Linked DNA regions of Oreochromis niloticus. The protein of the gene in region 1 purifies or fractionates together with the protein of each later gene. This does not show direct contact. Links are inferred from orthologs where the notes say so. Each region holds a gene or a part of one and is shown in the gene's direction. Other genes may lie near its edges. The genes, in order: mpdz and plekha2.

What was found.
Region 2: the proteins of mpdz (region 1) and plekha2 purify together in Homo sapiens (affinity purification with western blotting; 3 studies listed by BioGRID and IntAct, with this or other methods). This does not show direct contact. The link is inferred for Oreochromis niloticus from reciprocal best matches to the Homo sapiens genes MPDZ and PLEKHA2.

Annotation. Positions count from the first base shown.
Region 1 is NC_031967.2:13,315,177-13,327,525, reverse strand, and holds the start of mpdz (multiple PDZ domain protein), read left to right. Parts: upstream 1-7,302; 5' UTR 7,303-7,605; intron 7,606-10,769; 5' UTR 10,770-10,813; coding exon 10,814-10,829; intron 10,830-12,349. UniProt on the Homo sapiens protein: Member of the NMDAR signaling complex that may play a role in control of AMPAR potentiation and synaptic plasticity in excitatory synapses. Promotes clustering of HT2RC at the cell surface.
Region 2 is NC_031977.2:17,644,036-17,656,504, forward strand, and holds the start of plekha2 (pleckstrin homology domain-containing family A member 2), read left to right. Parts: upstream 1-6,342; 5' UTR 6,343-6,688; intron 6,689-9,164; 5' UTR 9,165-9,184; coding exon 9,185-9,325; intron 9,326-9,454; coding exon 9,455-9,511; intron 9,512-9,909; coding exon 9,910-9,958; intron 9,959-10,088; coding exon 10,089-10,186; intron 10,187-11,295; coding exon 11,296-11,427; intron 11,428-11,605; coding exon 11,606-11,695; intron 11,696-11,782; coding exon 11,783-11,851; intron 11,852-12,021; coding exon 12,022-12,092; intron 12,093-12,469. Other genes in the region: transforming acidic coiled-coil-containing protein 1, read left to right, coding at 772-840; uncharacterized protein si:ch211-113d22.2, read left to right, coding at 2,810-2,858, 3,217-3,330, 3,870-4,087. UniProt on the Homo sapiens protein: Binds specifically to phosphatidylinositol 3,4-diphosphate (PtdIns3,4P2), but not to other phosphoinositides. May recruit other proteins to the plasma membrane.

The DNA of each region.
Region 1 (12,349 bases):
TTTTGACAGTTTGTTGATCTGAAGCATTCAGGTGTGTGTTAACACAATTCCACAATCTTCCCAAGAGTGGACGTCCCAGCAAATTCACTCCAAGGTCAGACTGTGCAGTGGTCCAAGAAATTGCAAAATCCCAAGAGCTATATGTCAGACTATAGACCTCAGTTAACATGTTAAATGTTAAAGTTCATGGCAGCACAATTAGAAACAGACTCAATAAGTATGGCTTGCTTGGAAGGATTTTTCTCTCTAAAAAGAACATGGTAGCAAAGATTATGTTTGCAAAGTTGCAGCTGCACAAGACCTCTGGAACAATGTCCCTGGGACAGACATACAAAAGTGGAGATGTTAGACCATAATGCACAGCACCATATTTAGTGAAGACCAAACACAGCATATGAGCATAAATGTTTATCGAGCATGGTGGTGGGAGGGTAATGATTTGGTTGTTTTGTAGCCAGGGGATATGGGAATCTTGCAGTCACCGAGTTGACCATGAACTCCTGAAGATTTGAGGCCATCTGTCCAACAGCTAACGTAGGACAACATAATGATCCTAAAAACAGCAGCAAATCTACAACAGAATGTTTGGGGGAAAAAGGAAATATGCTGTTGTCCAGTTAAAGTCCAGACCTCAACCTGATTGATATACTGTGGTGGGTCCTCTAGAGAAACTGTACATAAATGAATACCCACAAATATCAATGACATGAACCAACACTGCAAAGAAGAGCGGGCCAAAATTCCCCCACAACAGTGTGAGAAACTGATAAAGTCATACAGAAAATGGCTACTACAAGTTATTGAATTGTGGTGCACTTAGTCTTTCACAGACCTGCATAAAGTCCTGTGAAAACTAGGCATCTGTTTGCTAGCACATCTGGCTTTGATTTAGAAGCTGATGAAATTAAGTTTGTTGTGTTTCTATAGGCTCATACTCAAAATTTAAGTGGCTGTCTAGATATGTCGCCTTACTGTAAGCAGGTGGTCATGTGTATCGCTACATAAAAGATCAGTTAAAAAGCAGTTTTCTTAGAGATTCTTGACAAGAACCATTTTTTATACCCTGTCACACATGCCACATGGCAGCTACTTCCTCAGCTTTTCAACAAACAACACTACATTATTTATCATCATCATGACAGGCAACTCCTTGATCATCTCCCTTAAAAGTGTGGTGTGAAAATGCTGATAAAATAAGATGCTGACAAAGTGATTTAGACGCAAATACAAGCCACATCAGTGTAACTTGGCTTTAAAAATTATGACAAATATTCAAACGCCTGGATCCACAGTGTTTTATTTACCTTAAAAGGCAGCATTATTAGCTTAACTCTCTCATCTCATCCTCTAAGATACTGTATGCTAGTCATGTGCCAGCTAACACAAAGCTACATTAGAGCCATAAATACTTAATATAACCTCCAACGTACTGGGTTCTTTTTTTAAAGGTCAACCTTCTAAATCGACTGTACTTTTTTGTTTAGTGCTAATTCACATACATATTAAATATGCTCAACCAAGAAGGAAAGCTAAACATGCTAAAACATTTAGCATGTTTCGCTCATTAACTAGCATGCTAGTTAGCATGCTAAATAGCCTCCTCAAGCAGCTGTTAGCATGGCTACTATTCATTTTAAGTTTCTTCAAGAAAAGATTTGGGTTTAAATTCTTATAATCTCAGTTATAATAGAAAAAATATGTGAAAATCTTTCTTAAGACAAAGGCTAAAACTATTACCCAAGAGTTATCAACCTAAAGTTGAACACTTAAATCCAGTTTTAAAGGCAACATTATATAATGTGTCACAGCCGGATAGAGTCTGTATGACATGCCTTCATAACAGCAGTGAATGTAGTCAAACCACCTGTAGAGTTGTTCAAAGAAGACTTGCAGTTTAACACAGTGAAAAGCATGCTGTGACGGTGTCAATCAAATACAATAATAGGTGCAAATATAAAGACATTTGGTGAAAGGCGCAGTTTGGTCATATATAAATTATCCAAAGTTTTTTTTCCCCCTTCGAAACAGAGCAACGCTAGCTTTTAAAGACTAAGTGGACATTTAATACATCATTCATTCAACGTTATAGCTGCTCACCTCACCTGCTGTGACTCACAGTGCATTCAGAAGCCCTTCAATGCTATATAATGAAACCGAGAGCAGTACACACTGTGAAATATGAGCTTAAGGCCCTAATTTCAGCTGTCAGATTCCCTGAGGTCAGATATTGAGGACTCATCTGTCTGTTACCTTCTCTCAGAGCTCTTTCACATAATGCAGGTTGTAATTTCCTTTTAGTGTAGCGTTACAGAAAGCTGAAAAGACGATGAAGGCAATAAATTGTCGGTAATAAGCTAGCAGGTCGGGTTAGCAATCAACGACTTATAGCAAGTAATGGCACAGATGCTCTCACACATTGAAGATACTTGATGACTAATCACGTTCACTCATATCACAACTGTTGGTTATTGCACATTGAAATTCTGAAATAATATAGCCTAATCTTTCATAGCACGTAAAGCTCTTTATTGATTATATTGTACTTGCAATATACCGCCATTGTCTTGTAAACTCAATTTTCTTACTTTAGTATTACATGTCTGACCCGGATCTGTGCTGAATACCAGAGAAAAGCGAGGGTTGCAGTTCAGCAGTCATTTTAAAAAAAATTCTGTTCAATTGATTTTATTTTATGTCTCGATTGGCTTGACATTTGCCACGGACATTCATGCTCTCAAGTGGCAGAGGGCGATTGATTTTTGGGTGACCCTATGACTTCCCTTCTGACTAAACCCTCCAAGACACAAAACGACCTCTCAAAGTGTCTAAAATCTTCAAAAGTAGCCCCGAGACCGGCATTAAATTCCATCTGCACATTCACATTCCCAACAGGACCAGACTTATTGATTTCCTACGATTCATGTGACCTTTGCTCGACGACAATATCAGGCCAAACTTTCAATTTTCAGTTTTCTGACCCTGAGGAACTACTGATACAAGACTAGAAATACCTACTGCAAGGCCATCATCAAGACAACCTTCTAGTTTTAAAACTCTTAAATCTTCTAGTCTTTTCCTTTTGTTTTGCCATCTACTAGCACTGACCCAACACGCACTCCCACTGTTGTGGTCAAGAAGCTGTATTATAGAGTACTGCAGAAGTACTTAGTGAATTATTCAGGCTAGACCTTTTAATATGAAAAATAAAAGTATGACTTTCAGATCTTTCCGTGAGCTTTTTTATACCGTTTGGGAAAATTTTGTTCCAAAGGCTATTTGAATGTTGATGGATTTATTGGCAATAAATCAAGACAAACAATACCAGCATTCACTCTGCCAATATGATTCAGACACTGAATTTGTGATTCCTTCAGGGTGTTTTTTTTATTACACCATATGACTTCATATAGCAAGTGTGTTTCCAATAAAACATGATATTTAGAAAGTTGTACTTTTCATGAAAATGTGTCGTTTTCGTGCAGTGTAGAGGAAATTGCTGTAAATTTTAAAAATGTTGTTGTATAGCTGAATCACAGCGCTCTTGAATAATCACTCGTCGCATTAATCTCTACAGTCTATTGCAATCAGGCTGTGTGAACGTAAGTGGTGCAAAGTACTGTGTATTAGCTTTCTGCATACTATTCACACAACATATATGTTGGTAATAGTGTTAATCATGTTAACATGGATATTAAGTGTGCCAGTACCTTTGTTACTGTTATCACAGTCACATATAGTCACATAGATAGACTTTGGTCCCAACACAACCGGGAGTTTATTATTATATGTGTAAGATTATTGTACTAGAAATTACACCAACTCTAATATTAATCATAATAAATTGTATAAAATGCAGAACTGAACAACTGACTTGAACTTTCTTTTGCTCAGAAAATGTGAAATAATAATAATTTCTTTCAGCAGTCTTCAGGAATAGTTCTCCAGGCCTCTTGAAGGACATTCAAAGCTCTTCTTTGGCTCCCTTTTGTTCTGTTCCCCGTCAAGAGGATCCCACATCACTTTAGTAACGTTGAGGTCCGGGCTCTGAGGAGGCCAATCCATGACTGATAATGTTCCACTGTGTGTTTTTCTATCCAGGTATGGTATTACTGCAACGGCAGTGTGTTTGGGATCATTGTCATGTTAAAAAATGAAGTCAATCAGTCGTTTCCAGATGGTATTGCATGGTGGATCAAAATCTGACTGTACTTTTCTGTGTAATTATGTTTCCAATTCATTGTTTCTGTAAATAATATTTGAATCCCTGAACATTACTGACTGAAATGCAGCTCCAACCCATCATAGTGCTTCTGTTGACAATGATTTGAACCCAAAATTTCAAATGTGGATTAATCTCTCCATAAGACCTGTTGCCACTGATTTTCAGTCCAGTTGTTGTGTAATTTGGCATATCTCAGGCTTTTCTCCCTGTTTCCCTTTCTTAAGAAAGGCTTCTTGACAGCCACTCTTCCACTGAGACTATTTCTGATGAGGCTTCAGTAACAGCAGACGGATCAACTGAAGGTCCAGTAGCATCTCTCATGTCCCGTGTCAACTCTTTGCTGTCTTTTTCACACCTTTTTCTTAAGGACATTGCTTTCACATACTCTTCATTTGCAATAGATAACTTTTTAGGTCTGCTACTTTTTCTTCTATTCTCCACTTGTCCAGTTTCTGAGGTGCTGTGCCAAAATATGCCACGTTTTCAGCTAATATCTCTTTGGGAATCATCCTGTTGATGCAAAAATACTGTTTGATGCCTGTCAAACTGTGTTATCCTCGGCAGTATTTATAGAGTCCACTAAAGAAATGTGAACAAATCATCTGTTTTTGTGCTAGCAATTGTTCCTTTGGTAAACTGTCTTTTATGTGTATACACAGCACTGGTTGACACTCCCTAGAGTTAGGCGCCTTTTTCATTTGTATGTCATGGCTCTGATTCATAAGTTAACGTTAAGTCACTTAACACTGACCAATGAATCATTCAAGCTTACCTGAAAATGAGTAAAAAGCAGCCCGTGACCAAAGATAAACTTTGACAGACCTTCAGAAAGCCTGGAGAACTACTGCTCAAGGGCAATAAAACCTGGCTCCTTGGAAGCAAAATATAAGGAAATAAGGGATGATTCGTGACTTTTGCAAACGCCGAATTGGTCCAAAAAACAGTTAAATGCAGCTAAAATAATCCTTTTTCAGAGTATTGAGAAAAAGAGATCTGAATCCAGTTATGACAGATTTAACTAGGCTGTCTCAAACAATGACTAATGCTGAAGGCCTGTGACAGGCAGGTATAAAAATATAAAATGCTGAAGCTGCTTAACACTGAGCTAAGATGTTTTTTTCCCCCTCTCTTCCTTTCTATCTTGTTTCAATCTCTTGTCTTTTTCAGCATTTGGCTGAGTCAGACCTCCCACATAAAAGTGGCTTATTGTCAGAGTAAGAGGGGAGTTACAGGGTGGATAAGCAGGGAGGTGGAAGTAAAGATATAAATGGTGAAGGGATTTAGTCAGTATCAGCTCCCTGAAAGCAGCTTGTATCCCTCTCCCTGTTGGTGAAATGACTTCTTACAGACTGACCCTGTTCTTTCCTGCTCTCCTCTGAGGTCTTGATCCATGAAAATAAAAGCAATTGTGGAGAGGGCAGAAATAGTATTAAGAGGCTTTCTTGACCAGCCAGTGCCTAATAGTTGCTTTTCCTTTGCAACAACGTGGAAAACAATGCAAATTACAGCACTACTACATTTCTGTTGTGCTGCTAGATCTGAGTCACAATTAACAGATGACAAGTTCTTTTCTCGTGTCTACTAAATGTTCTGCATATTGAGTTAAAATCACATCATCTTGTGAAGTAATAAAAGCACAGAGTATACTGTTCATTACACTTAAATGCATATTAGACAAATATCTAGCTTTTGCATGAACTTGTGTGGGTGGCAGCATGAAGTATTCATGCATAAGTGTGTGGGTGAGCTGTATGTGGTTAACAAGCTTGCAGTGCATGGGAGTCATATTTAATTAGAAGCATAAACTGCCCTGTTGATTGGACTCTCACACAAATGCTTTGGATTGACTGAAAACCGTTCCAACAATTCGCTGAATCGTTTATAATTAGTGCAGCATATAAAAAAATGCAGAGAAAATATGAATTATTAAGACAAATACATCCCCGGGCTCCAGCCATGGTAGGGATGGGCCTCACGGTAACTTCAATATATGTAATATGAATGAGAGCAATATTACGCTTCCTTTATAGTGTATTTTATGCATTTTAGAGACTGTGTTTGCTCAAGGGCACTTAAACAAATACACTTCTGCACCTGTGATTCACGTTCAGGTCGCTGAGGTCAGGTGTTCCTCAAAAGTAATAATTTTAAGGGCCAAGTTTAACTGCCTCAGACAAAATCGCTGGGCTGTGTGTGTTTGTCTCCCAGGCCAACTTTTTTCAGAGAATAACCTTCTGTGAAAGTTTTGCCGTGATTTATCTGTAATTTCCTGTTGTTTGCCCCATGAAAGCAGTTGGAAAGCTGTTTTCTGCTGTCTTTTCTCCACTTAAACGTCGGTTTATAGGCAGGCCAGGTTAACCCCTCATGCCCCTCTGTCTCTCTTGTTACAGCATCTATGCCTTCTCCTGCCAAAGTGCTACCCGACTTAATAGACTGGTGAAGAGGGCCAGCTCCATCCTGGCCAGCCCCTAGACTCCATAGAGGTGATGTGTGAGAGGATGCTAGCCAAGATAATGTCCATTATAGACAACCCCTCTCACCCCTTCCCAAATTTCACCCAGCAAAGACTCCGATCTGGCTCACTGGACAGCTTTGGAAAATTTGAGGGAGGCCATAAAGTTTCGACTTTAAACTGTATTTTGAAAAGTTTTACAGCTCTTCCTAGTGATAAAGACATCCCTTGTTTTCATTAATAATACACCAAACTAACACATAAGCAATTAAATAACAGAAAGATTCATGTTTTTTAAAAATCTATATAAATTTCTGGGGGTTTTCTAACAGTAATTGAAACAAGATCCTTTTCTATTAAATAACCCCCCCAAAAAGTGTTATAATCACAGTTTAATCTGAGAAATGAGCTAATTTTACACATTTATTTCTTACAATTTATATTTATTTCATTTACAGGAGCAGGATTTCTCTGTTCTGCAGACAAACTTCAGTGTACTGTTGAAATTGCACTTCTTTTTAAGTGTGCATTTAAACTGATTTACACAGACGGAAAAGGGGGGTATCACTGATCCGGGCTCCTTAAAATCATACAGTAGGCTCATAATGTGGCCCGCAATGTAAACCGAGTTTAACATCCCTGCCCTAGTTTAAGTTTATGTGAGTTTGCTTTGTTTTTGGGACTTTAGCTCTGGCCCTACACGGCAGCCAGGGCTTCTTCCATGTATGTAGGGCCTAGTTGTCAGGGCAGCCAGCAAGCGGCGCTTCAGCCCCAGCTGAACTGTCGGTGCGGCTATCGCTGGAAGTGTCCACAGAGGATCGAGTTACTCAACGCCCCATCTTTAAGCCCCAGTCAGTGCGCCGTTAGCCGCAGGACAACAGAGGATAGCTCAAGATACTGGCCGCCGGGGAAGCAGAGCGTCCACACTCATGTAAGTGACTCTCTTTAAACGTGTTTCGCTTGAGGAAACGTTACTGAAGTCTCGAATGTGTACTAACTTCAGCTTTTCTCAAGCTAGAGACCCCCTTTGTTAGCTTTAATGTCGCTAATTAGAGGAAAATATTGTGAGACGTCTTCTGTAGCGGTTGGTCACATAACCACACCAGACTGCCTTTAAATAGATCCAAGAGGCTTTTTTTCAAGTAAAAGTGTTTATATATACTACAAGAAGCCAGCTTGGGCGATTTCCTGTGGCCGTACAGAGCCCTGATAGTGTGTAACTTCTTTCCCGTCTCCGCGTCGGAAGCCTGTTGCTTTCTTGCTAGATGAGATGGGGAAAGAGGAGGAGGAGGAGGGGTTGAGAAAATCGGATTGTCCCGAGTGCCTTGTCGACTGTATTCAAAACACCACCGAACCTGGGCAGAATATACCAGCTTTAAACAAATACGACGTACTAAACGCTTTATTAACAAGAAATAACACGGGCATAGTGCTAATTTCTTTGATTTTGGAGGAACTCCGCGATAAAATAACAGCGTTTTCTTATTAGCTAATTTTACTCACCACAAACCTCACAAATGATTATTTTCGCAAGGAAATGCTACCCATGGAGCTAAACTACTTTTTTTGGAGGCTGATATCTACTGTGTAATAGCGGCTAATGAGCTCCTCCGGCCTTCTGTGATTCATTGCATACCACTATAGTGTGTGCATCCTTAAGGAATGGTAAAGCTACTTTCAGACACTGAACCACATATGTCATTGAAAAAAAAAACACATATAGTATACTACTGTTGCCACAAGTGACTGTAAGGTGCGTGTGAAGGCAGATTTACTACATAAATACATCACTACATGAGTGAAATACACAGCTAACATACTAGCTCATCACTCAGCATAAAGGGTAGGACACATGCAGTGATGAGTGAAGCAAATGCATAAACAAACCAGAGCTGTGGTGATCCTTTTGCCACAGATACTGCAGCTATTCTGAGAGTCTATACAGGGCTTTTAATTGTCTGAGCAATCTCCTTTAATCGTGTAATGTCTCCCTGAGTCATATCACGCTTGCTTACAAAGCCACTCTCCGCAGCCAAGTGTGATGTTCCCTGCATGGGCTCTGTTAGCGAGCACTCCTTAAAAGAATTAGTCAAATACAAACGACATGATCACCTTCATCATGCATTGCTGTTAGCTTTTAAAGCTTTAAAGTATCAAGGCACTGGGAGTCTTTATGAGCTTATTGGCACTGGCTTTGTTTACACAGTAGAGGAGTCACTGCTCCTTCTTTCTCTTGCCTTTCTGATTTGATTGCATGCACTTTGAAGGTAACAGGGTTTTTTCCAAGGCAACAGTCAGTTTCACAAAGATATATTTTTTGACAGATTAGATAGAACAAATAGCCAGACTTCAGATAGATGTTTGAATCCACCCATTGTGCAAAATGAGACTTTGATTTCAAGCACAATGGTACAATGAAATATTGGTAAATTAAGACTTTTCCAGGTAAAATAGTCAGAAATGTGTGTGTCTGAAAGGAACAGTGAGCAGGATGACACCAGTCAATAGAAAGGGTGATTTACTGAAGCAGCTTTTAGGGAGTTTAAAATAATAATTATAAATACATGAGCTGATTACTTAATAATCAGGTATGCATTTAGGTAATTTTTTTGTGTGCAAAACATAAGCATTTTTTCTCTTTTGCTGTGTGTTACCGTAGACATTATAAAAGCCAGTGGTAACCACCGTAGTATTGCTGTTCAGTGATATTGAAAAACACCAACACTGTCACTAAAACCTGCCATTAATGTTGCCATAAGACCAGGTCAGTGTGCCATCAGTCTGATATCAGTCTACGATTGATTGGGTCAATTTGGCAATTACATGCAACCTGACTTTGATAAAACAGCAATTAACTGTAATAAATTGTTGATAAACACATATCTGTTTCAGTCTGCAGAGACAGAAACATTTAACTATGTCTTCTGCATTCAGCAGCCTTCCGGTTTTACGGGAATATAACAAGAATACAAGCAGCTGGCAGCCAGTTGAGTTGAGTCCTCTCGCGTTGTGCTCATTGACAGAGACTCAATCTATCTGTAAATTAGACAGCAATTATTTGCAAACCTTTGACAATCTCTCTGAGAGTGATTGCAGTCCTTCCAAGTCAGACTGCAACTATTTGCAGAAAGGTTACCTCGTATCAGGTGACCTGTGCTATCACCTTACCTTACCCTCAAGCTCTGGACAATCACAAGTTTGGTCGAGCCAGTGTAAAGTAAGTTTGCACAGTTAACATTATCTCAGATTGGTGTTGCATGAGATGATCCATCTTGTTTGTAGTCGTCCCCAAAGAATTTTATTTTAGCTAATAAAAATTTATTTTTTGGTGTCGCAGAACTAATACAATATCACCACCTAAATTAGTGCAATACTGTGCTCTATCTGCTCGCCCACCCCCCACTCCTAATATTGACCAACAGTTTAAACACTCATTTATGAGCTAAGTAACAGTGCAAATAAAAAGTCAGTGTAAACTTTTAATTTATAAGGAGAAAATGAAGAACAATTAAATATGAAAATTGTCATGTTAGCAGGATGTTGTGCTAGTTTTAAAGCAGCTTATAAGATTGTTGTGTGAGAGGATAATTAATTATCAGGGTTGTATGAAGTAAGATGATATTTATCTGATAAGAGCAAAATGGATACTCAAGCTTCATCTAATACCGGCTGTATGAAATTTCAGGAATGTAAATTACTTGGTATTTATTCATCAATAAGAGCATTAGTGGAATATAAGGGAACTAAGAAGCTTGAGTAGAAGCGCTTTTCTGGCAGCCGGTTTGTCGAGAGACTCGACAAACTGGGACAGTTCTTCAGCACAATGGTACTCTGATGCACATAGTGAAGCATTCTTCAGAGATAAATATGGACCTAACAGAAATGAAATAAATCTAGTTTCTTTTTAATGTTAATCTTTTGAACAGAAAATGTGTAAGTTGGGAGGAGAACCCAGGAGGAGGATGAGCCATTTTTCTTGCTCTGAGAGCTTTGTGGAAGTTAAAAATAAAAGAAAACAGCGTGAGTTAGTGGTCTAATATTTAGTTCTCTGATTGCTCACAAAAAGACATTAAATACTGAATTTGTCATTTTCAGGCCTTGATGAAGGGAAGGCTACACATTCATCCGACGCTCTAAAAATGATAGAAACAATGGGTAAGTATTTGGTTTTTTAAATTGTTTTATGCCAGGCATCTATAAAATATTCATGATTTCATCCATGATTGAACCAGCTTTAGGGTTGAGTGTGGTCATGATAGCAGACTTCTGAATCCAGTACCAGTACTCGGTTTAATTAAGATTCAACACTGCCATAATCAAAAAAAGAGAAAATCTTCCTTTTAAAATGAGCAGTTTTTGCACGGGGGCTTGGGTGTCCGTCTTTGCTGGCTGTGCTTTGCACATTTGGCTTAAGCTGAGAGTTTTCTCAACCAGCGTAAGAGGCCCTGGATTCAGTTCAATGTCCGTGGGCTGCCAATGTTGCCATATCTGATAATGTTGCCATAAATTTGATTGTTTGTTTGTGCCCATAGAGATTTATTTGCCCAACTGTCAAGCATGATGCCAAATTGGTGCTGCCAGCTTCTTTCTTTAAAACAGCAATCTGTGGTCACTCTCAGGACGGGAATGTTGACTGTGTGTTTGTCAGCTGCAAATGATGAACTGTGATGAATACGTGTGCTCCAGGCGCTGCTCTGCTGGAAAAACTGATAACACCAATTCTAAATTACCCTAAGCATCTTTTCTGCGTTATTATTAAAAACCAAAATCAGAGTTTTCATATAGCTCCAGATCCTTAATAAGTCAATTTTGGCTGAAAATACAGATTTATTGGTTGGGTTCCACAAAAAAAGAAGCTTGTTTTAAAGTCTTTCAACTCTTTATCACTCTACAGTTAAACATTTAGTCAGCTCATTATTCCTGCCATTGGTAAATGTCATCTTCTTTCCCAGTAGGTCTATGGCAATTAGCACATTTGGCTGATATATCTGTGACTCCTTATGCTTTGCTCAAGGACCACCTTTTCTTCTGCAAACTCACACATAGTTAGGTCCTTAGGTTTTTGGACGGTGACGCATTATTTGTGATTTTGCCTCTGTACACAGTCACAGTGGATTTCTAATTAAATTAGTCAAGATGTGACTGAAGTGCAGACTTTTAACTTTAATTCAAGGGGTTTTGCAACAGTTTTGCATTAACTGTTTAGGAATCACCGTCATTTTTATACATAGCACCCCATTTTCAGACGTTCAAATGTTGCTGGACATTTGACTGACAAACAGTTTCATTGGCAGGTGAGGTTGATTCCCTCATTACTCATTTATGAGGGAAGTAACGAGTCCAAATGTTGAACTTTATGCCAGCATTAGCAGTTCAATAGACCTCTCAGGCTGAGGTTTTAAAGAGATAATGATGCAAGGGACACCGTCATTAAGCTGAAAAACCCAAATAAACCTCTCTGAGAGTTTGTCAGTCTGGTGCATTCAACATCGAAAGGCTCGAAAGAAAACTAAAGTGGATAGTGACAGAATTACTTCAACGACTAATCAAAACAACTTTGCAACAAAATATAACCAAGTCAAGACAACACTCAAGGATGTAGGCATATCATACAATCAAGAGATGCCTTCATGGATGTAAATATAGAGCGTCTGGAACAAGATACAAACTACTGG
Region 2 (12,469 bases), on another chromosome or scaffold:
GTGAAGCTGCAAGGAGCAGAGATGGTGAAGGTGGATGAGTTTAACCTGGGGTCAGCGATCCAAATAATAGACAATGCAATTCAATTCACTTTTATTTATACAACGCCAAATCACAACAACAGTCACCTCAAGGCGCTTTATATTGTAAGGTACACCCTACAATAATACACGATCCCACAATAATACAGTAATAAGACAGTGCAGAAGAGAGTGCAGGCAGGGTGGACATGCAGAAGGGTGGTGTGACAGAGGTGCATAGTAGGGATGAGGTGAGATGGATGCAGATGATCCGCTGTGGCGACCCCTAAAGGGAAAAGCCAAAAATGGTTTTTTTTGGCACTTGAATACCATCAAAATACATGTTTGAGGTGGTACAAAGAAATAGTCTGGACTTGGGCTGGATCATTTCCAAATGAGCGTACTTAAAGAAACAATATTTACATATGATTTGCACTTGTATTTGTTAAACTAAAGGGATCATGCAGCTGGCTAGCGCTGCAGCTCAGCTGAGGTGCACACCATGAAAGTTTAGTTACAGCTTGTCACACTTGAACGATCACGAGCCACTTCCTTCTACAGTGAAGTCTGCTAAATAGAAATTTGTTCCTACATGAAACTGCTTACAAGAAAACTTTTGTTGTGTTTTTTTTTTTCTTCTGGGTATCTAGGTCAGGATTTCTGGCAAATGACAGTGCTGCTGAGTTTTAAAAAAAGCATTTTTGGTGGTTAGATGGTATTTACTTACTTTCCTCTATTCTGTTTTTTTTACAGAATCAAGAGATCGAAGAACTGACAAAAATCTGTGACGAGCTGATTGCCAAAATGGGAAAAACAGACTGAGGATTTCTTTATGGGAATCAACCATGATTGTCCGTTCCTCTGGCCCCGTGCATGCATTCAGCCCTGAAGCAGTTCTTATACCCTGTGCCTGCCCTGCATCTCAGAGCCTGCTTATGTACAGACGTCTAAAGTAACTTCTTGTATACTACGATTGCACTACATGTGACAGGAACCAAGAACGCTCTATACATTTTAATTACGTGTGATTATCTTAGTTTGTTTTGACTTTGTGCCCATTTTGAGGCCATCTGGAGCCCTTGTGCTTTTGTCAATCATTCCAGCGAACAACAGCTCGCTTGTGACTCAACTAAATTTTCCCAGCAGCTTAACCGCTAAATTCCCAGCAACTCCTCATGCAGGGTGACATCAGATTTAATCTAGGTCGAGATTTGTTTTAAGTTACATTTCAGCTCGGTTTTGTAGAAGGAATATTTTCTATTAAAGAAGCAGTCTATAAAATGTATTTTTCTATGAAGCAAACGTGGGTTTTATGCTCACCGAGGAAGGCTCAGGGGTATTTCGTCGGGGTTGAATGAGGTCAAGGTTAAAGTCAAGCTGCACAAAACGGGAAGAAAGGGGTTTAGGATCATTTGAGGAAGTAGAGCAGCCCACAGAAGCTTTTGTTTGTTTGTTCAGTTATGATATTGAAAGCAAGCTGCACATAATTAATATCATTTGTGTAAACTGATTCAGACGGCGGCACATTTGGGATGCTGGACAATTCAAAAAGCAGCAGAATATTAATCAGTCACTTTATATGTAAAAAAAAAAAATAACCTGACAATCACATAAACATTGATGGCTTCATCCTGTGTGCATAAACACAAAACTAACTGGTGTTAATGATCGCGAACAGCTGGAAAAGAGAAAAACAGTCACTCTGTATGTCAGCTGAAGGCTAAAGGCTATTATATGATTTTAAGTGCTGCTGTACTGTCTGTCAACAGTTTTTGTTTAACTGTCAGTATGTCACCGATTGCTCACTAATTCACATTTATCTCTCAGACTTTGACACCTTTGCATTTTTTTCCATTGCTTATGTGCAATGATGAACATGTGAGCCTTATTGCTTGTGTTTACAGCAGTACACTAGTAATGCAACAGAAAAATATCAGTTTATTGCATGTTTACTTTCACATCTTTGCATTTTTCAGAATGCACACTGTTTTTCCTTAGCACACCAACAAAAACTAGATCGGCACAGTGCCGCAACAACAGTAAAATTGGAGCTGGTGCCCATATTATACCGAAAAAAAGTTTTCTCTTTTAGAAAAACAAAAGAAATGTGTGAAAAGATCAAAGCTCATTCAGGTTTTATCATAAACTAAAAATATAAGCCTTTCATTTTGGTGTTGGTACTTTTTGGTCAGTCACTACTGTAACTTAATGTCAGATAACTTAACTGGCTTTGTAACTTTAGCCCCTTTAATTATTTAAATATATATTTGTGAATTAGAAATGACAATCTCACTCCTGTGTGGAAGCAACTTGAGCGTTTGTACATCCTTCCTGAATAAACCTAAATATAATTTGTTCTGCTATGTTTGATTTTTGTTTTCCTGTCTGAGTTCTCTGTTTGTGTCAGTGTCCACATGATGGCCGCAGCTTTGGACTCGCTGCTAATTACGATGCACAGCGTTTACATCTTGCACATACATTACATTTTATATTCACGCTGTAAAAAGTTTTAGTAGTTAGAAAAAGAAACAAATTACCTCATAATTCTGTTAATAACACCAAACTCTAACCGTGTCTCCCCCTGGTAAAGCTTGCTTTAAGTCAATTACAGCAGTATGCTGGCTGTGCATCATAGATGGAGATTACAGCGATAAGACTTTAATGCCCTCAGACACCTTCCCCTCCAGCTCCACCTCAACCTCCGGTGTCTCCTCCATCAGACGCTCATCTCGGCTCATCCACTCTTTCTCTGGACTCTTGAAAAGACACAGTGACCCATCGCCCTGCTGCCATGAAGACTGCTCTGGCTCTGCTGCTGCTCATCTCTCTGGCCTGCCACGGTAAGTTTTTGGGAGAAGGGATCAACTTTGCTGATTGGAAACTTTGTGTTGGAGAGAATCCACTTTTTTGGGAGAATTTACTCTGCAGCAAATGTATAGTATTAGTGAGGTTAGTCACTATATTTTATTTACTGTCTGTTGGACATACATTGCTTTGAGTGTGTGCAGACGTTCCCTAGCCTCAAATTGTAGGAGACGACAGAAGCTGGATACTCTGCTCAGTGTGTGTGTGTGTGTGTGTGTGCACGGTTGAATGGACTAATAAGAAGGTGGTTGCATATCTGCATGCTTGCAGCCACCTTTTGAATATGCATGCTTAGTCTCAAGCCAGGCGCTCTCTCCTGTTCTGTCTGTGAAGGCCATGCTCTCAAATGTCACACATGCGTGGCGTCCAATGAGGAAGACTGCAACCGTCAGGGCTCCACCCCCTGTCCTCAGTATGCTGATGCCTGCTCCACCATCACAGGGCCCAGTGAGTAAACACTCACACACACATATACATGTACAAACACACACAGAAAAACAAGCAAAACCAGTATGATGTGGCTGGATACAGTAGTGCCTCACTAGAGGTCAGCACAACACTGACAACCCACTGCTTGATTGTGTCACAGATTCAGGAAACCAGCGGTCCTTAAAATAGTGCTCAAACAGTTTCCATTTCCATAAAAAGAGTTTTTAAAGTCAATATTAAAATCCATAAACCACAAACTCATAAAACTCACTTAGCTGCTTCTCTTTTCTCATGCATTTAGCATGTAGTCTTCTGAAGGGGCTGTGGCAAGACCTTTTTCTGTTGGTAACAAAAATCTGAGATTGTTATTTCACAGAGTGAATTTGTAACAGATCAGATGCATGTGATGATGTTCTAAGCACTAAAATGACCTAAAGTTTTTTTCACATATTGGTCACATGACATCTTTTAAGTGTGTGTTCATTTGCGTGCTTGGAAAGTCTTCAGTTACTTCAACACAACTTACCCGTCACCCTCTCTGACCCGATCTCTTTCAGACACGGTTATGAAGTCGTGCACATACAAGGCCTTCTGTGAGAAGGCTAACAGCGGCACCTCCGGAGCCAAGATGCATTGCTGCTTTGGCGATGACTGTAACGGGCCCCACAAGAGTCACAGCCACGGTGGTCATCCCAACAGCACAGGGGCAATTTCTTCCAGCCCAGTCCTGCTGATCACAGCCCTGCTGCTGCGTATGGCCTTGAGTCAGCTGTAAATTCCTCCACCTCCTCCTCCCTTTTTTTGTTTTGTTTTCCTTCCAGTGATTCATCACCTCCTCTTTATCTGTTTTATTTTTAAGTTCAAAAAAGGGATTTGAGTTGCAGAGAGTTTCATGTGGTTTGAGACAAATATCGTCTTTCGACGAGGGTTTCTGACGGCTGTGGTGGAAGGGAGTGTGGTCTGTTCTGCAGGTACAAGCTGCTTTAAAGCAGCTTCCTTTGTCTAAGTTATCATCCTCTCAAACAGTAACCTCGTTCTCTGTAGCAGCTTGTTGAATTTAAGAGGATTTTAACCTGGGGAGTGTTTGTGGTGAATAAATGTGTACAAAGTTAAGAACAGCTCACAGCTCTGATGCACCCGGGGGGGGGACTCGGGTGTGGTTTTGGTAACTAAGTGCTGGGGTGCCTCACTAGTTTAGTGCACAGCTAGCTTGCTTCGCACCATAGAACCACAAAACGAATCTCTTTCGCACGGTAATCTGAAACTGATTTAAAAGGTTTGAAATTGTCTGTGATGATGCTTTGTTATTTTATCTGTATGGAAGCTTGTCTGAATAAAGACCTAATCACACCCTCGTTTCGTGTGTGGGTGCAGTGCATGGTAAACTGTGGCTAAGGTACCCTTGGTGTGGCATTTGACACACTGCTCCTCACTAAATTTGTTTTTGTTAATGTGTCTGATGTAAAAGCACACCTTGGGCGTCTTCTGTACAGTAAAGGAAACCTTCAGTCTGTGATTTTCAGCAGTAACAGAAGGGTCTGCTGAAACTTCAAAGCTTCCTTTTGCAACACTGTAAGTTAATTTCTGTGCAGTCGCCACAGGATATGAAATCAGTGAGGTAGGTCTCCGTCCTGAGGCAGGTCATATGACGTGCAACCACTTCCTCTTAACAGGAGGACACAATTTTGCCGAAAGCAAGAAAAGTGAACACAGAATCCCTCCTGTGAATGTAGATATTTGTTATTTCAGCACTTACAAAGGTGTCATGCTCAGATCCAGCAGAGACTTTACATGTGTGAAAACCTTAAAACCAGAATCTTGACTAAACTTACAGTGAGGTGTTGAAACTGAGAGGTCAGGTCAGTTCATCTTTTAAGCCCTCTTTTTTTTTTTTATCACTTAAGAGTTTTAGACCTCAAACTGTGGTCACTTTTGTGTAAAGGTGGAATAAAGCAGGCTTTAAGCATTTTATTAGAATACCCTGAGTTTCTTTACATCCTGTGGCAATGTGAGATGGATGACTTATTATTTTACCCAACATTTAACACTGAAGTTGCTGTTTTGCAAGTTAGACAAATTTAAGATACTTGCTAAAGTTTTATCTATCAGCTCTTCAACTTAAGTTCACATAGAAACTGCAATAAGGTAATGTGTTAAAAAGGATCCTTTCTGCATAAGTTTAAAGCCTGAATTTCCATGAACACCTTTGACTGACAACCTTGAACTCCTCCACACTTGCATATATTTGCTTTTGATGCGTCTTCTTTAACTTTGGATGTTTGTCTCTGATAGCACTGGGCTACACTAGTGCTTTGTTCAGAGGTCGTGCTTCGGGATATAAGGTTAGTAAATTATAAGTCTGATAACCACAAATGCTTTTCATGGAATATGTTTTGCATATTTTTGTTGCACGGGATCACATGCAGCTACAAGACTCAACTCTTCCAATAGCACGCACTAATCAGCATAACCGACCGTTTTCTCTTTATCTAAATAATGCAGGACTTTCATGCAGCCGTGCGGCTGCTATTGATGACACTATGGTCATGTGACATGAGAACTTATGGGGTTAAAGGTCTGCAGAGGAAATCTATCAACAAATACACTTACACCTACACGGTGAAATAAATTTTATTTTTCCTTTTTAATGTGTGAAAGCGTCTGAAACAGCATTTTAAAAGGTTCCCGTGAGGCAGTTAGTATCTTTAAATTTGAACAACAGCCCCGTTTTTGGTGGAGAACCTTTAACTTTAGGTTTACTTTATATATATTTTTAAAGCACCAACTGTTTTTGGCATAACATCTCGCACCTGTCAGCCTCACCTACCAGCGGTAATGACACTATGAGTCTTGTATTCCTGTTTATCCAGGTTTACACTCCCTTCCCTTTCAGCTGTTCTGTGTGAACTACCGGGTTCATCTGAGCGTGTGCGTCTCGTGTTTGTCCCAGCTCTCAAAATTGCCACACTTTTTTTTTTCAACTTAAAACTGAAGATAAAAGCAGAGAGAGTGTGTGTGTGTGTGAGAAAAAAAAAGACCTGTTTAGATTAAAGCAGCAGCAGACAGGAGGAGGAGGAGGAGGAGGAGAGCCCTGCTTGTGCTCAGGGGACGCATAGATCACATCCGGGGCTGGTTTATTCTAATAACGAAACGTCCAACCCGGAAAAAAGGACAAGTCTTCTGTAATCGGATCACACAAACAAATTGAAGAGGGTGTCGGAGTTTCACGCACGCCGGTCTTGCGAATATCCACGGCTTATTTTAGGTTTTTAAAACTTTATTTAGCATGCTCCTGTTCACCAAACTCGTGTCTCTCTCCGCTGCTTCGTAGCCCTGCGGGGCGCTGGCTTTGGCGCACGCCGACTCTCCATAGCGGGTAAGTTAAGTCGACAGGGGTACTTTCTGACTTTGTGTGTGTGTGTGTGTGTATGTATGTATGTATGTATGTATGTATGTATGTATGTGTGTGTTTGCGCGCGGGCGTGTGGTACAGTAGGTGTGGCTGGCCGTTGAGTCGTTGGATCTGGTGAGTCAGTGCAGGTCATCTGAGCTGAACAAATGTAATGTCTGTCAGGTGTTGCTGAGTAATTGCGCCTGATCACATTTTGACACTTTTCATTGCATGCTCATAATCACGTTGGAAATGCACGCGCATGGCAGTCAAGCTTGGTATCCAGGGGCGTGCTGCACGCAGCTGCTTTTACTGTCAGTTAAACGATTTGCTCGATTAACTGGTCCACAAAATGCCAAACATCTTAAAATAGACTACACGAAAACCCCCCAGTTGTGTTCCGGATTTCAAGATCCGGATTTCTGTTTCTGTATAATCCTTTAAGATCATTTTATTTATTAAATTTTACATAAAGTGATTGTAGGGAGTGTGGAAACTACTTGGGTGAAGATTGTTTGATGACACAACAAACTGTATTTTTATTTGTACTTTTTTTTTTTTTTTAAATTAAAGAGCTATTCACCGTTTTCACACCTCCAAGTTAACTCAAATGCCAGAGGAAGAACTACCGAGCCTGTCTTTAGCAGCTCTGGGGTGAACTTTGATAAATCTGAGAACAAAGTAAAGCATTTACCAGGCAGAACAAAAGATGCTACAGTGCTGTAATAAGTCTGTAACAAGTTCCCCCAACGATTAAGAAGAACATGACTAAACCTCTCAGACATGCCACAGGTTGGTCTAAGAGATTTACTATCAGTTTCTGCCAGACTGTGTTGTGCTTGCACACAGATGAAGCAGATATGTAAAGGTGCTGTAGGTGGGTTTTACTTCATTACCTTGGATGTGGTATAAGTCAACTAATATCGCTGCTGTGATCTGTACGTTCTGTTTTCCTGCACACAAACTGATAATTGCTCTGTGTATATTATCCTGCCACGTTTCAAAGCTAAGGTACTTGATAGAAATGTAAAGACAGTTGAAATGACATTTGTCAATGTAGTTTTGCCAAAGATGCCACAGCTTCGCCGCTGCTTGTCTTTATAATGGCTAAGCCAGATGTTTTCTGATGCCCAAAATGGTTTAATGTGCACATGGGTGCATGTGTGGGGATTGTGCTACTGTCAGAGCTGACCTCTGTGGCATCATTTTCATTTTTCCATTACAACAAGACTTTCTGCAGAGCGCTTCTGTATCTTTGACCTATTTAAATAGCAGCAGACTAACACATCAGAAGCACAACCCACTAATTTTTTCAAAGCAGTTTCAAAATGAAACATTTTCTTACCCATGAACTCAAAAATAGATTCACTGGAGAGTCATCGGCATGGTGAAGACATAGTCTGTGTTTGTCTTCTGTTCCTCTGAGTGGGTTGTCTGAATATTTTCATGGAAATGTTGATAATTTCCATCTCCTGAAGGCTTCCGAGCCAGGACGAGCCCGTAAAAAAAGTACTGGCAGGGCGCACGGCCATTCAGTCTTGATTATGTATTTTATATGACTGTCACGTTATAATTTTTGGTCCTGTATAAAAAGATCAGTCACAGATGTGGCCTAGTTTGCCATCATATTACCTTTGTGGCCTCATTACATTCAAGTTTTTCCGTAGATTCGAATCTGGTAAAGTAAGGATCTTCCAAATGGATCTATTAATTTATGTGATTATTTATTTTACTGGGTGCATCCAACTTTGGAGTTTGTCTTTGTGATTACTTCACATTAAGTCGACAGAGATGCAAAAGAGGCACCGTCAACAGTGAAAGTTCCTTTGGCAACTTAAGGAGGACAAGAATATAAATGAAGCCAGAAGCCTTGTGGTCAACCATTAGAAAAATAAATACTATGAGATGTCTGCCAATTGATAAAATGTAATTGAAAGTCTATAGAACTGAGGCTCTCTGAGCTGAATGAGCCTCGACTGTGTTGAGGAATCAGTCAGCAGCTCGGTGATTCACACGCATGGCATCGTTTCAATGAACACATCTCACCAGCTTTCTCCCCCTCCTCTCATCTTCTTTCTTCCCTCCCTTGCTCCCTGCCTTTCCTCCCTCTCCTCTCTCCTTGCTCCTCTCTCTTCTCTGGCCAATGGAAATGTGCGTGTGTGCAGATCATGAGTGCAGTCTGTAATTTTTGGCTGTGGTGGAGGGCCTCAGCTCAGCCTCAGGCTTCAGGGTTTGCTGCACAGCCTCAATCACGTCACATGAAAAACTGCTGAGTGCGAGTGGTCTATTCCTTCCTGCGTGTGTGCGCGCATGCATGCTTGTGTGCGCTTGAACACTAAATGAAAGATGATTTATCCTCCACATCTGCCTGTCTTTGCCTCCTGTTGCTCCCTTCACATGTTGTCTCTCTTTGTCCATCTCACTTGAGTCTTTCTCTTCCTAACTGTCCGTCTGTCCTCAGTGATATGTGATATCGACAGCATGCCGTACGTGGACCGGTTGAACCGTGTGTGCGGCTTCCTGGACATCGAAGAGAAGGAGAACAGCTGCCGCTTCCAGAGACGATACTTCATCCTTGACACGCAGGGAAATGCACTGCTGTGGTATATGGACAACCCTCAGGTGCTCCACACGCGCATGCACAACCCACACTTTCACAAACAGCAAGAGGAAATGAAATTGACCAATAGTGGCCATATAACCTTGGACTCTGAGCTAACGACGAGTCTGTGTATTTGTGTTTGTATGCAGAACCTGCCCAGTGGAGCCAGCTCTGTTGGCAGCTTGAAGTTAACCTACATCTCTAAGGTAAACCACTTTCATGACTGACTCCGCAGTGTGGTTGCATACAGTAAAGTCCAGCGCACCAACTTAGATATCTAAAATGCGAGCACACAAGAATTCACAGACTACACACAAATAGCATGCAAATTCGTGCAAGAGTTCATAGATACACAAAGAGGTCAGAGTTATCTCTAGTTAACGGTCACATGCAGCGCAGAGCCGAGGCAGACGCTGTGAAGTTTTCCAGATGTCAGCGCGCTCACTGAGGTAACCACAGATAATGACATCTGGCTCCTCTGCACTGCAGCGCTGACAGCTTCTCCCTGGACACTCAGTCAGATCTATGTCAAAAATTCCTCTGTTTTTTTTTTTCACTCCTTTCAGTTTATATTCACATTTCTTTTCTCTTCTTCTATCCTCAGGTGAGTGAAGCTACAACAAAGCAAAAGCCCAAGACAGAGTTCTGCTTTGGTGAGTTTTTTTAGGGAGGAACAGAGTGATGCTGATGAAATGGTTCGAAATTACATAATCTCCCATGTGTGATAATATTGTCCATTCCACTTATTGTGGATATTCACGGAACTGATTTCTTCTCCGGCAGTCATCAATGCACTTTCGCGACGGTACTTCCTGCAAGCCAATGATGTGACCGACATGAGAGACTGGGTGGCTGCTCTCAACAAGGCCAGCAAGATAACAGTAAGTGCCGTTACATGAGAAAATGCTTGATCTAGCAGTTATTGGTGGTGTTGGGGTGGGAGGGGTGGGGGTTGTTTCCACCTGAGTGCAGGAAGCTGCAATTTTGCTGCGGTGGGACTGAAACCAGTTCGACCCAGGCGGCTGCAAATGCCAGCCCATTGCCCACAGATCCCCCTTCACGCACACACACAGACACACACACACACACATTGCTGAATGAGGAAACTGTGCAAGAAAACGAATGATAACACAAACGTCACTGCGGTGAAGGTGTCGAAACTTGTTCATATGTATTTGCATAATATTTGTGTGAGCTCAATGAAATGTCCAGGAGCCTCGTTGATCAGTGATATTCAGATGTCTTCTGATGGAAGGTAACAGAGAAGAGTGTTTCTCTGCCTCTCTCACCTGCTCACTGACACAGGAAGCGGCACTGTTCACTCTTTTTCACTTCCCCATCGAGGGCAGGGCCGCTCTGCCGCCTTTTTTTTCTTTCGTCTTTTCTTTTTCTTTTTCTGAGCGAGTGTAAAAAAGGAAATCATGATATAATTGCAGGGATAAAGTAGCACATGGGGGGGGGGGGGGGAAAGTAAAGTTATTAAAATGCATCTCTTCATATTTGTCTGTTTGAGCTAGATGTGTTGCAGTTTATTAGGAAATTATACATTTAGCTGGATGATTCAGCTGTTTGGCCAGTTTTGGGAAACTGTAGGCTAGATAATGGATCTAAAAGCAGAAAATGCAGCACAGCATCACACAGCCCTACTATTGTTTTTACTGTATGACCAGCATGCACCTGCAAATCTGTTTTTCTTTTCCTGCTCCCTACTCGCTATACACCCCACGCTAACATTTGTGTGTCTGGTGGGCTTTATTTGCTTGGATACACTTGGTTGCACTTGGTGCATCAGTGGACTTTGAGAAAGCTTGCAATCTTTCACAGCCGATCACATTCAAGGTGTTTTTCAGTTAACTCTGCAGTAAAACAGTCACGGTGTTGTGGCGAGCGTATGACTAAGACAGTATTCCCAGAGTGAGGAAGAGCGGCTGTGGAAATTAAACAATCAAGTCCTTTTATTTGCTCTCAGAGGTGTCCCGTCTGTTCACAGGTGCCGAAGTCTTGCCCTGCATCTGTGAGGCCTGATGTAACCACGGTGATCAGTGATGCTCAAGGAGGGAAGAGACAACAGGCCTACAAGGCTGAGATTATTGGCGGCGTGGTGGTGCACACTCCTATACAGGTAAAATGATAGGACACACACACACGCACACTTTTTTTTAGCATTATAAGAATCAAAACTGTGGCAAAAGCACACAAAAATGCGGTGTGCTAAGCTAGTCTGAGTTATCGACAGTGGTGGTTTCCGTGACTATGATATCTAAAGTGATAATAAAGATGGTTTTCATGAAATGTTTCAGAACGACAACGAAGAGACGGAAGGGAGAGAGAGGAAGGGCAACCGGCCGGGTTTGCTGAGATGTGGTTACTGTGTTAAACAGGGAAATGTGGTGAGTCTCATAACAGGTTCAGACTGAGACTGAGTCGGAGTAAAAAACAGCATGAGTGTGGAAATGGTAATGTGGTATGTGTTTCAGAGGAAGAGCTGGAAGAGGCGGTTTTTCACCCTGGATGACAACGCAGTCAATTACTACAAGACTGAGTCGGTGAGAAACCAGGGTTTTCATGTTTTTGGCCCTGTTTATGCATGCTTAAGAGTGACTGCTATCTTTGTCTGAATATAGTTTGTCCCAAAATTTGGAAAACTACTGTGTTATAGAAGCCAAAACATTAAAAAATAACTCACAATAATACAAAAACAAAAAATCTTTCCTAGGAGAAAGATTTTATCCGATCTATTCCACTGAGGGACATTCAGAAGGTGCATGAATGCCTCGTCAAGTCGGGGTGAGTAAAACATGAAAGTTGTCTGAGTCTGCCAGCATTTTTGCTTTCTCTCTGTCTGGTTATCTCTATACTATGTAAACAATTCTGAATACTTGCATATGAGCAGATGATGCACTCTTAACCGGTTTTAAAGTGTTGCATTGCATGTATGGACAAGTTTATCCTTATCAAGTTTACATTAGTTTCACAGGAATTAAAGGGGGCCCTTAAATATAACTTATAAATGGTGTGAACAAAGGTAGTGAAAGTTTGAAATAATGAGGTCAACATGTGATCCTTATGAGCCAAACATTTAGGCTTCAGTCTGCTCTAAACCCAGATTTTTTTTTTTCTACTCATAGCTCTGTGAGCCTTCTCAGAGAAGCTCCTCTCACCTG